2 linked regions of the Caenorhabditis elegans genome follow. The protein of the gene in region 1 purifies or fractionates together with the protein of each later gene. This does not show direct contact. Each region holds a gene or a part of one and is shown on either strand. Other genes may lie near its edges.

Region 1 (7,401 bases):
AAATATGAGTAGTTCAAACGACAATAAAGGGAAACCCACAACAAATGATCAAAGTGGTAAATCGGTGAGTTTTAAAATCTCCTTTTCTAAAAAGGAATCTTTTTTTAAGAAGAATTATAAAAGTTGAACATATACCTTTTTTTCTTTGTTAAAATTGAATACTCAAATTTTCTGAATAATCCGACTGAATATGGAATAAAAGGAGGCGTCACTGCAATAAGAAGAAATGCGGTCAAATATTTGATTAAAACCTCGGGTAGAAAATCAAATATTTTGAACATTTTCGACAAAACTAAAATATCTTCTCGCGGAAATCCGAAATGGTGGATCAGATTCGATCGCCCTCATGGAAAAGTGGATTTCCATCACATCAACATCAACAAGGCAGTTACTGGACTCAAGGATCCACATCTTCCTATCTCTCCACTGCCAAAACTGCTGGAGTTCTTGGAGATGTTGCTGAGAAAGCAAATAAAATTGCTCCAATTTTGACGACTGCCGCTGTGATTTACGAAATGTATCAAGTTGGAAAAGAGGTTAAGAAGGATTATCATCACGGAACCACACGAAATACTATAAAAACAGTGGCAACCACGGCGACAACTTATGCAAGTGCATCTGCTGCAGCATTGGCCGGTAAGTGTTGTAATTTTAAAAGATTCAGTAGAATTTTTTACAAAAACTTTATTACAGGAAGTTCCATCGGATCGGCAATCTTTCCTGGTATTGGAACGATTTTCGGAGGAATCATTGGTGGAATTGCCGGGGGATTATTCGGTGGACATGTTGCCGAGACAGCTTCAGAACAAATTCTAACTCACGTGAAATATGATGTCACAACGTTAACCTGTAAAGAATGTGGAAAAGATTATGATTGGAAGAAGTACGAAGAAGCACAAGGAGTTTGTAGCTGCCAACTTCAAATTGTTCTGAGCAACGACGCTGCTACCAAATTATGTGCAATTTTGGCGGAAAAGATTCAAAGTCCATCTCAAACTTCAAATTATGCATTTAATTCTTACCTTTGTTATTATTATCTTCACATTTTCGCGTGTCTCAACAAGATTTTGAATCATAAATAAATTATTTCTAGAAAACAAACACTCAAATTGAAATGGCAAGAAGTGCAGATGAAAATTCAAATGAGAGAAATAAAAAGAGAAAAAAGAAAAAGAAAGAAGATGAAGGGAACATGGTATGGAACAATTATTAACAATGCTCACAGAAACAATTTAGTTAACTCAAGATCCAGCTGGTGCAGCAGTTCACATATCATCAGCTGGAGCTCAAACAGCTGGAACAATTGGCGGAGAGGGTCTCACAACGATCGCGCAAGCTGCTCCAGTTTTACAAGTTGCTGCAGTTGAATACGATGCTTATCAAATTGGGAAAAACGTGGAAAAAGATAAAAGGAGAGGGACAAGTAGGAATACTGTTAAGAAAGTGACCACTACAGTAGCCACGTACGGTATTGGATTTGGTGGAGCACTTGCAGGTGTTCTTTCCATTTAAATCTGAAATTTTGAAGAAGCTGAATATTTTAAGGTGCTGCAATTGGAACTGCAATTTGTCCAGGAATTGGAACTATTGTTGGAGGGATTGTGGGTGGTATCACAGGTGGAGTTGGTGGTGGATATGGTAGTGGTAAAGCAGCAGAAGCTGTTATGGATCAAGCAGAATATGATTCGTACAGAACTACATGTGAAACATGTCAAAAACTATACAGATGTTCCAAATACATTGAAATACAGATGTTCCAAATACATTGAAATTTATTAAAATTTGCTACACTGAAAACCTTTATTCAAATCTCCGCCATTAAAACATTTTCAATTTCGATAGAGCGCACTTGCATTAAACTCATTTTACTGAATTTTTCGCTCATTTTTCATATTATTTTTCTTTCTGAATTTGTTTATAACCACGCTTCGAGCCAGAAAATGTTATTTTTTCATTATTACAGAATTTAAAAACATGGGAAAACGCAAAACAAAAGAAGATAATGCTTCGGAAGACTACGACGCGAACGAGTTGATGATTGTGCCGGGTATTTAATCGAAAATTAATTTATCGCTTACATTTACTTTCAGGCGAGAAGCGTAAGAAATTGGAAAAATCTGGAGAAAAATCTGCAACTGGTGGAAAGAAGAATAGAAATTTCGCGAAAGAAAAAGAGGTTGCCAAGCTGACGAAGCAGGCGAAACGAAAACTTGCGGCGGTTCAGTCAAGGAAAGCGCTGAAGCAAACGGTTAGTGAATTATTTTTGTATTTGAAGTATTCAAAAAAAAAACTATAATTTTCCAATTTACAGCAAGAAGAACTATTCGCAGGACTTGCTGAATTTCAACTAGATCCTTCTAAGCTCTGCCAACTAAGTTCCAGCACAAAACTTTCTAAAGAGCCAGAAAAGTACGATATTTTTCTATCACATAAAAAAAGCAAAATTCAATTTTCAGAGCTCCCGTATTTCCAGAAAAATTAAAAGTTTTCTCTGGCAAAACTAAAACTGAAGCTAAACGAACTCAGCAAGATTATTATCCAACTGATGATGAATCATCTTCTGAAGAAGAAGAAGAAGAAGAAGAAGGCGATAATGATATTGAAGATGCCGGAAATACAGTTGAAGTTAAAATTGAACCAATTGACTTGGATGATGTTGATGAGGCAATTGATGGAAATCCAGAAACTAATTTAGATCAGATTGTAGTAAAACGGGAAGATGATGAAGAGTCTGATAATGAGGATATTTTGGCGGTTAGTTAATAAAATGAAATAAAATGAAAATAAAATGAAATAGGAAGATTGTCTATTTTTTCAGCTCCCAACTACGACAGTCATTAATCGAAAGAAAGTTATTGTTGAGAGAAGCAAAGAAATTCAAAAATCCCGTGCCGAACTTCCAATTTTTGCCGAAGAAATGCGAATTGTCGAAGCTATCAATGAGAATTTGGTGACAGTAGTCTGCGGAGAGACTGGATCCGGAAAGACCACCCAAATTCCACAATTCCTTTACGAAGCTGGATATGCATCAGAAGGCGAACTCATTGGAATCACCGAACCTCGACGTGTCGCAGCAATTGCAATGGCTCAGAGAGTTGGAGTTGAATTGGCAAAGCCCGACGAAGTTTCCTATCAAATCAGATATGAAGGAACTCGATCAGAAACAACAAATATTTTATTCATGACGGATGGAGTGTTGATGAAGGAAATGGAACAGGATGTCATGCTGAAAAAGTTTGATTTTTAATTTTGAAAAAATCTCCATTCAGATTTCTCGCTGAACATTAAACGTTCATTATTTTCCAGATACTCTGTAATTCTCATCGATGAAGCCCACGAACGCTCAATGTACAGTGACGTGTTAATCGGTATGCTGTCAAGAATTGTTCCACTTCGTTCCAAAACCGCCCGTCCGTTGAGATTAGTAATCATGTCTGCAACACTGAGACTTGATGATTTCACGCATAAAAAGTGAGATTCTGAAGCGAATTCCAATTAAACTTTATTCAAAATTTAGGCTCTTCCCTCTTTTAACTCCAAAAGTTATCAAAGTTGACGCCCGACAATTCCCTGTCTCCGTACATTTCGAAAAACGAACTCCCGATGATTATATTGCATCTGCATTCCGAAAAACGTGTCGAATTCATGAAACTCTACCACCGGGTGCCATTCTAGTCTTTGTTACAGGACAACATGAAGTTAAACAGCTGATTACAAAGCTGAAAAAACGATATCCGGTGGTTTATGAGACTGATAAAAACGGAGAGGTTCTAGTTAAAGGAACCAAAGAATGGAAGGAAAAGAAGGTAGAAGCTGCCAAAAGTATCAAGTTAGAAGATTTTAAAGAAGAAACACCGGAAACTGAAGATTTTGAAGATGTAGATGATGGATTAATGGATGGAGATGATATGAATGAAAGAGGTGCTGCTGAGGCGTTTGATGATTATGAAGAATTTGAGAATGGGGATGGAGATTTATCCGATGGAAAAGTTGAGGTAATTTTTAGAAAAGTATAGAATTTTAATCCAAAAATTTATATTTTAGAACTCGATTGGAGCTCCACCTGCTGACTGTGAACCACTTTACTGCTTACCTTTGTACTCATTACTCTCAATGGGAAAACAGAGAAGAGTGTTTGATGAAACTCCGGCTGGAATGCGTCTTTGCGTTATTTCTACAAATGTTGCTGAAACTTCATTGACTATTCCAGGCGTGAAGTAAGAGATAAATAATTTATAGAATAAAAAAGCTAATTTCCAGATACGTTATTGACGGAGGTTTCGAGAAGCGTCGTCTCTACGATTCAATCACCGGAGTGTCACGTTTTGCAGTTTGTCGAATTTCTCAAGCATCTGGTGATCAGCGAGCGGGACGTGCTGGAAGAATCTCTGCAGGACACGCCTATCGTCTCTACTCTTCAGCTGTATACCAAGATTTTGTGAAATTCGCAGATCCTGAGATTCTCTCGAAGCCTGCCGATCAGCTAGTACTCCATCTAAAATCGATGAATATTGTTAAAGTTGTCAATTTTCCATTCCCATCAGCTCCTGATGAGCAAATGTTGGAATCGGCTGAGAAGCGTCTGTGCCGACTTGGAGCACTTTCTGAGAGCACGAAAAATGGAAAAACGGAAGCAAGAATCACGAAACTCGGAAAAACATTGGCAGTGTTCCCACTGGCACCGTCTTATGCAAAATTCATTGCTATGGCCGATCAGCATAATTTGATGAGTCATGCGATTCTTCTAATTTCATTACTATCAGGTTAGATTTATTTTTAATATTTTAAGTGTTAATTTATAATATTTGTATCATATGCATTTTTCAGTTCGTGAGCCCCTAATCCCAGTATCATCCCTCCGTGGCGACACGCCAGAAGAAACAAAAGAATTGATGAAGAATGTTCTGAAAGAAAGAAGAAGATGGTGTTCACATACTGGTGCCAGACGATTAGGTGATCTAAAAGTTCTCATGCATGCAGCTAGCGTTGCCGAGCAGATAAAGGTACATCTGGATGTGCAAACATATTAATTTTCACTATTTTTCTAATATTGCGAAATATCCCGTAACATTGTGATCATTTCAGTATAACGCCCGTGAGTGCGAAAAAGTCGGTCTCCGAGTGAAAGCACTGGTTGAAGCAAGAAAACTACGTCAGCAACTCACAAATATTGTTAATGCTTCTTGTAAAAAAGAACATGCGGCTGCGTTGGATTCAGATCTGCCGCCACCAACTGATCAACAGGCACAGCTTCTCAGGTATTTACTTTTTTAAAATTAAACATTGAGAAAAGTGCCCACTATAGAAAACAACTTTATGAATTTCAGACAAATGGTTGTTGCAAGTTTTTCTGATCGCCTGGCTCGTCGCGTCGATCGTTCTGTCGGACAAGAAGAAGTTCAAAAAGGTGCATACGAGACGACATTAATCAAGGGACACGTTTTCATTGATCCATGCTCAGTCGTATTCACAGAAGAACCAGAATTTGTGATCTATCAAGAATTGGTTCAAGTAAATGAGAAGAAGCTGATGACGTCAGTGTGTGCAGTTGATAAAGAATGGCTCAGTAGATTGGCTGAATCATATTGCAATTATGGAGAACAGGACAAGAATCAGGAACCGATTTACGATCCAGTCAAAGATATGGTTGTGAAAACAGTGAAAGTGACATTTGGACCGTTGAATTGGGAATTGCCGAACGAAAATCGAAGTGTACCACATGATATCATGATGTATAGATATTTTGCACTATTCCTCCTCGATGGATTGGTTTTTGAAAAACTCAAAGAATATACTCCGAAGCTACTAGCACCGCCATCAACAATGGTCAAGTCTTGGGCAAAATTGCAGAAACGAACGGAGATGTTGTTGAATAAGTTAATCGAGAAGGAGGTAAGCAGTACAGAATTTCAGATCAAATATTTCAGCTTTTTCTTTCAAAAAACTGAAATTTAAAAAATATATAGAAAAATGTACAAAATGTCTACAGTTTTCAAATTTTTCTTTTACTCGACTGCTCGATTTTCTGCAAAAATAATTTCAAAATTTTCAAGCCATTTTTCTATTTTTTAAAAAATAATTTATTTATCGTCTGGGTTATATTTAATTTTCAATTTCAAAATGTTTGTCTTCTATGAAAAAAAAACGATTAAAAACCTTTTTGTAGATTCCTAAATCTTTCTAAAATTGAAAAATAAAAATAAATTCATTTTTTCTGAAAAAAAAAACACCAGAAAATCGAAAACAATTTTTTTTTTCGAAAACATTGTTTTTGTTTTTTAGATTTCCTTTTCCAGGTAACAACGCGATCATCACTGAAAGAGCAATGGTTGAAAAATGAGAATTGGTTGCTGGAAGAATATTTGGAATGGGTTCCAGAATCCGTGCATCAACAAATTTCCCTTATGTGGCCACCGCTTGAAGATCATGAAAAGACTATTAAAATGGGTAGAAACAAGAAATACTAAACAAATTCTCGTTTTTCTATCCTGAAAATATTATTTTTTTTTGTTTTTTTTTTTTCATTAGTATCTGAATTGTTATACATATTTTACTTGTTACTGTTGCTTTTGAACTTCTTTTTTTTTTTTGAAAAATATTTGCGTTGTTGTTTTTATTGTTTTAGTGAAAAAATATAAAAAGATCAATTAAACATTTTTTAAAGTTCCATTTGTTTTAAGTCGTCTTGGAAATTCGTTTCAAATACTTTCATTTTTTTCAATTTATTTATTAAACTCAATTTTTCAGTTATTCAAAAAATGCGTCTAGTAGAAATTGGAGCACTTTCTGCCGATTCGGATCTAGTTCTATGGGAAGCTAGTTGTGAAACAATTTCCCATCAAATATCTCTGAAATTAGCTCGAAAGGAAGGAGGTCTCATGGAAATATTCAACTCTGTTGTCGCATCACTACCAAGAAAATCGGATTCCTTCAGATTCTCGGCGATTTCATCGAAAACATCGTGGGAATCAGCTCACCGAAATTTACTAGAAAATTTGACGAAAACCGTGCCAGTTTTATTGGAAAATGGATGGAAAAAGAGTCCGGACTTTCAGAAAAATAGTCTTATTGATTTGTTCTCATTGTTGGAAGATGAAGATGCGACAAGAATTTTCAAAATGACACAAGAAAGTCGATCAATTACGGAAGATGATGTAGAAGATTATTTTTCTATGTTTGATAAGGTGAAAAACATAGTATTTTGGAGAAAATTATTTATTAAAACATATTTCCGCTTGTAAAAATGCTAAAAAAGTTTTAGTTTGTGGACAAATTTAGACTAAACGATTGCCGCTTTTTTTCGATGTGTTTACAGAGCAAATCATATAACTGAAATTTTCGGTTTTTTTTCGAAACTCGAAAAAATGTAAAAATGTACGAAATGAAATTTCCCTGAAATTT
Region 2 (4,399 bases), 1.1 Mb from region 1:
TGATTATTAACTAGGAAAGTAACACGATGGACAATAAATAACGACAGGGCAAAATGGGCGGGGCCTAGAGGGCAACGTTGTTTCATTGACTGCTTTCACACACATACACACACTAATCGATACAAATCATAAGGAACATACGGCCAACAATGCCATCTCCTCCTGCGTCACAGAAACCCACACTTCTTCTCTTTTGATCGAGGAATGAAAAAGTAGAAGAGACGACGCAAAAAAAATCGAAAACAACGACTCTTGGGGCGGTAGACAAAATGAACTATATGTGCTTGTTTTTGCATGAGACTCTTCACTAACTGTGTTCGTGGCGAGACCTGCGCGCGCGCGAAACTATGCGATTTGAAATTGTGGTACTGTAGAGTTAGCGAATGAAAATTTTTGAGAGGAAAACTACGGAGTATTTCGAAAAGAAGAAGAGAACAGTGAAAACGAAACTCTTTTTTAAAAAAAAAGCGAAGCAAGTTTTTTTTTTCAAAAAATGCATGTCGAATCTAAAACTACAATCAAATTATAATACACTTCCAATAGAAAAAAATTTGTATCGGCGATGGGTGATGGATCGTAGAAACAAAAAAAATACATTTTTTGAAAAAAAAAGGCGCCAAATCATCTTGTGTCGTGTATAAATGTGAATTGGGAGAGTAGGAGGCAAAGGCCTAGTGGGAGACAAAAAACAGAGAGCGTGACGAGCGAAGAGACGATGATCAACGAAGGTTATACATTGCAATCGGCCATCATTTAGCAAGTGAGCGCAAGTGAACGAGAGACGATAGATGAAGAAGCGAAGAATAGGCGCAGACGGAGTTGCAGCAGCATCCAAGTAGCCATTCAGGACCGGACGACCGCAACAGGAGGCAAGAGACATCATGCTCCGTACGGACGGTGCAGATAGACGAGATGGAAAAGTTAGAGACTGCTCTGATTTCAGAGAATAATGCACTACTACTACCCTATTTTTTTCTCAATGCCAACTTTTTTGCTCGATTCTATGTTTTTTTTTGTATATTCTTTTATAGACGGTTCGAGGAAGAAACTTTTTAAAAATTTGTAAAAACCTATAATTCCAAAAAATGATACACAATGAAACTAATTTATGTAAACGTATTAGCTCCGCCCATTTTATAGATGTGACTGACCTTGAAAGCGACTCCAATATTTTGAAAAATGGCGGGAAAAATATTTGAATGCTTTTTTGTACCCAGTACCGAGTGCCGCCATAATTTCAAGGACGCGTGTGACGTCACATTAAAAAAAATCTACTTATCTGTGAGCCCTGAAGAAATTTAAAAATGGAGGAGTGTGACATGTGACTTTGCTTTTAAAACAATTAGTCTCAGATTCACTATCAGAAACAACGAAAAAAAGTAGAGAAAGATTGAAAAATCCAACTTTTAAAAAACCGATTTTTTAAAAAGATTTCGGCGAATTGTTCGAATTCGCTTTAAAATGAGAACCGCAAAGCGAAAGTTGGATCTTTCTTGATTTTTTTGTGGAATTTCGAAATTTTAGATCATTTTGAGTCCATTACTAAAACTAAAAATTCACTTCTCAAATAAGAAAGTAATAAATATTAAACTTCATACATTAAAACTGCATCTGACACCGAACAACGCGCAATACAATTAAAGTGCATTAAAACTGTATTTGATACCTAAGAATGCGTAATATAGTGTAAACGGACCCTATTCGAGCTGATGATATTCATGAATCTTAAAATATAGAAATCACAAAGCCTCACACATTTTTAGAAAATAACGCATCAACACAAGAGCACATACGGCAAACAAACGATAAAGTGGCAAAGAGAGGGAGGAAAGAGAGCAACCCTTCGGAATTGACCTTTGTTAGACTCAATAAACCTACCAGATGCATCATAATTAGCAGATTACTAACGGAGCACGCGGATATGATGGAGAAATTAAAAATCGAAGATTGAAAATATAGTTAGGAAAGGAAAGGCTTTCTCGTTCAAATTCAAGTTATTATTTTAAAAATTCAGGCCTAAATTCAAATATTCGTTTGACCTTCTATCCTAAAAACTAATCCGGCTCCGAATAAACAGCTCGCTCGGCCTTCAAAATTTCAAGGACGCGTGTGACGTCACGATTTTCGAAAACATCGCTGTATAATTTTAATATCAACGGTGAGGCAAATTTAAAAGTAACGATCTAGTAACTGCCAATTTTCTATTGAAGAAAATAATTCTTGATAAAGAATCATTCGGAAAATCAATAAAAGAGAAAAAAAGTGGCGGCTTGTACTTGCTATAATGGCTGGACACCGTTCTACTCACGGAGAGACCCTCCTGTGCATACAATAAGCGATAGTTCACGAGTTGACTTAGTTTGTTGCGGTTTGATAACATATTGGCTAGCATTTACCTCGTTTAGCTATTTGAACAAACAAGAATTAGTTTTAAAGTACTAAATGGTTGAAGAATTCGAATTGCCGGGGGAAGTCAAAGCTTTGGATCGAAAGTTAAAGTCAATTTCAGAAAGTGCGTGAAGATTGCTGATTATTTCAGTAAATCCGATAATTAATCTAATTCATAATTAGAAAGAAATTAATTAAATCAAAAGAATCCATACGAAACGTCGAGAAAAATAAAAAGAAAATGAAAAAACAATTTTTAGAGGAAACAATTTCAAATTCTGCACTCTACACCACATTTGACGCACAATGCTCGTCCGGTGTGGTGTTTGCGTACCAAATTTCATTTCGAAAAATATGTTTATTTTTGAGGCTTTTTTTTGTGTTTTCAGGTTAATTTCTCTCGATTTTAAAGGGCAAAAGAATCAATTTTAGATTCCTATCGAACTTAATACTTTCCGTATATATTTGTTCACATAATTATTCAATTCCTTCCCATTGTTTCCTTTCGTTTTGTTCATTTCTCATTAGATTTTCATTTTCAGCTCAAAATGTCACTGGCCACTAAACTACGAAGAGTTCGAAAGTCTCCACCAGAGGGATGGGATTTGATCGAGCCCACACTAGAACAGTTCGAAGTGAGTCTTCTTTTAACTTCGGACAACTTTTTCAAAAATATATATTTCAGGCGAAAATGCGTGAAGCCGAAACAGAACCACACGAAGGAAAGCGAAAAACTGAAATTAACTGGCCGATTTTCAGGTATTAATAACCATTAATTGATTTAAATTTGTACCTTTTTCTTCAGAATTCATCACCAACGATCACGATACGTCTATGACATGTACTACAAGAAAGCTGAAATTTCCCGTGAATTGTACGAATTCTGCTTAACCGCCAAGTTCGCTGACGCAGCACTTATCGCGAAATGGAAGAAGCAAGGATACGAGAACCTGTGTTGCGTTAAATGTGTGAATACTCGAGACAGTAATTTCGGCACTGCGTGCATCTGTCGAGTTCCAAAAAGCAAACTTGATGCGGAGCGTGTTATCGAATGCGTTCATTGTGGATGTCATGGTTGCTCTGGATGATCTCTATTTTTATATACTCTCATATCAAGGTTTTGTGAATCCCCCGTTCCCTGAACTTTTTTATTTATTCTTTTTTTTTTCTTCTTAAAATACATAACGTTCTCACTGAAATTGAAATAAAGAATTGGAAGGCTGAATAACGATTCTTAAAATGATTTTTTTTAAAGTTTCTTGTCTTCTTTCATACTTTAAAAATCTGCTTCAACCGTTAATATCCCGATATAATTCACAGAATGGTGGAAGTTCCGTCTTTTCGGTCAAATGAACATTTCCCACAGCTCTGCGACAAAGTCACGGTCAAATGGGACAAAAAACGTGGAAGATTTGTAGAAGCAATCGAAGATATTCCTATTGGAACTGTTGTCTGTGTGGAAACGGGAATCACCGTGAACGTTGATCCACAAAATTGTTATCGATGTCTGAAAATAACCGAAAATGCGTCATTTGCGTAAGTAGCTCGTCGTGAAAATTGCAACTTAACATTTCTCTCCAGAAGCAAAATTTTGCAATTTATCGGTCTCGACACGACAAATTGTTGTGAAATTTGAAAATATATGCGCCGTCAAGTCTCAATATACTAAATATAACAGTTTCAATCAATTTTGGAAAAAAAATTGGCTCAATCCTTTTTGAATTTCCGCGCAAATTAATGATCTGGTGTTGATAATTTTTTTATTACAAATTTTTCAGACATCCTTTCGTAAAGAAACTTGGCAACCAGAAGGAGATTTGCTGAAATTCTAAAATTGCATTAAAACCGATAATTCATAATTTTTTTCGCGAAAAAAAGTGGAAAAAACATAAATTATTATAGCCGAAAAACTCAAAAATTGCGCGGAAATTCTAAATTAATCAAGCTCTTTTAATATTTTTTTTTGCAAAATTCAAAAAAAATCACAAAAGTAATTTGTAAAAAATTCTAT

What was found.
Region 2: the proteins of rha-2 (region 1) and bud-31 fractionate together in Caenorhabditis elegans (co-fractionation; one large-scale study listed by BioGRID). This does not show direct contact.

The regions. Positions count from the first base shown.
Region 1 is NC_003281.10:8,609,130-8,616,530, reverse strand, and holds rha-2 (Putative ATP-dependent RNA helicase rha-2), read left to right. Parts: upstream 1-1,961; 5' UTR 1,962-1,974; coding exon 1,975-2,047; intron 2,048-2,090; coding exon 2,091-2,248; intron 2,249-2,311; coding exon 2,312-2,409; intron 2,410-2,456; coding exon 2,457-2,754; intron 2,755-2,818; coding exon 2,819-3,234; intron 3,235-3,306; coding exon 3,307-3,471; intron 3,472-3,517; coding exon 3,518-3,995; intron 3,996-4,044; coding exon 4,045-4,217; intron 4,218-4,260; coding exon 4,261-4,763; intron 4,764-4,827; coding exon 4,828-5,003; intron 5,004-5,085; coding exon 5,086-5,258; intron 5,259-5,327; coding exon 5,328-5,892; intron 5,893-6,296; coding exon 6,297-6,467; 3' UTR 6,468-6,649; downstream 6,650-7,401. Other genes in the region: C06E1.11 (uncharacterized protein), read left to right, coding at 321-636, 694-1,082; C06E1.9 (ASCC2 family CUE domain-containing protein), read left to right, coding at 6,759-7,184. UniProt on the Caenorhabditis elegans protein: Probable ATP-binding RNA helicase.
Region 2 is NC_003281.10:9,693,882-9,698,280, reverse strand, and holds bud-31 (Protein BUD31 homolog), read left to right. Parts: upstream 1-1,763; 5' UTR 1,764-2,158; intron 2,159-2,930; 5' UTR 2,931-2,936; coding exon 2,937-3,023; intron 3,024-3,073; coding exon 3,074-3,147; intron 3,148-3,193; coding exon 3,194-3,476; 3' UTR 3,477-3,613; downstream 3,614-4,399. Other genes in the region: set-3 (SET domain-containing protein 3), read left to right, coding at 3,710-3,924. UniProt on the Caenorhabditis elegans protein: Involved in pre-mRNA splicing process.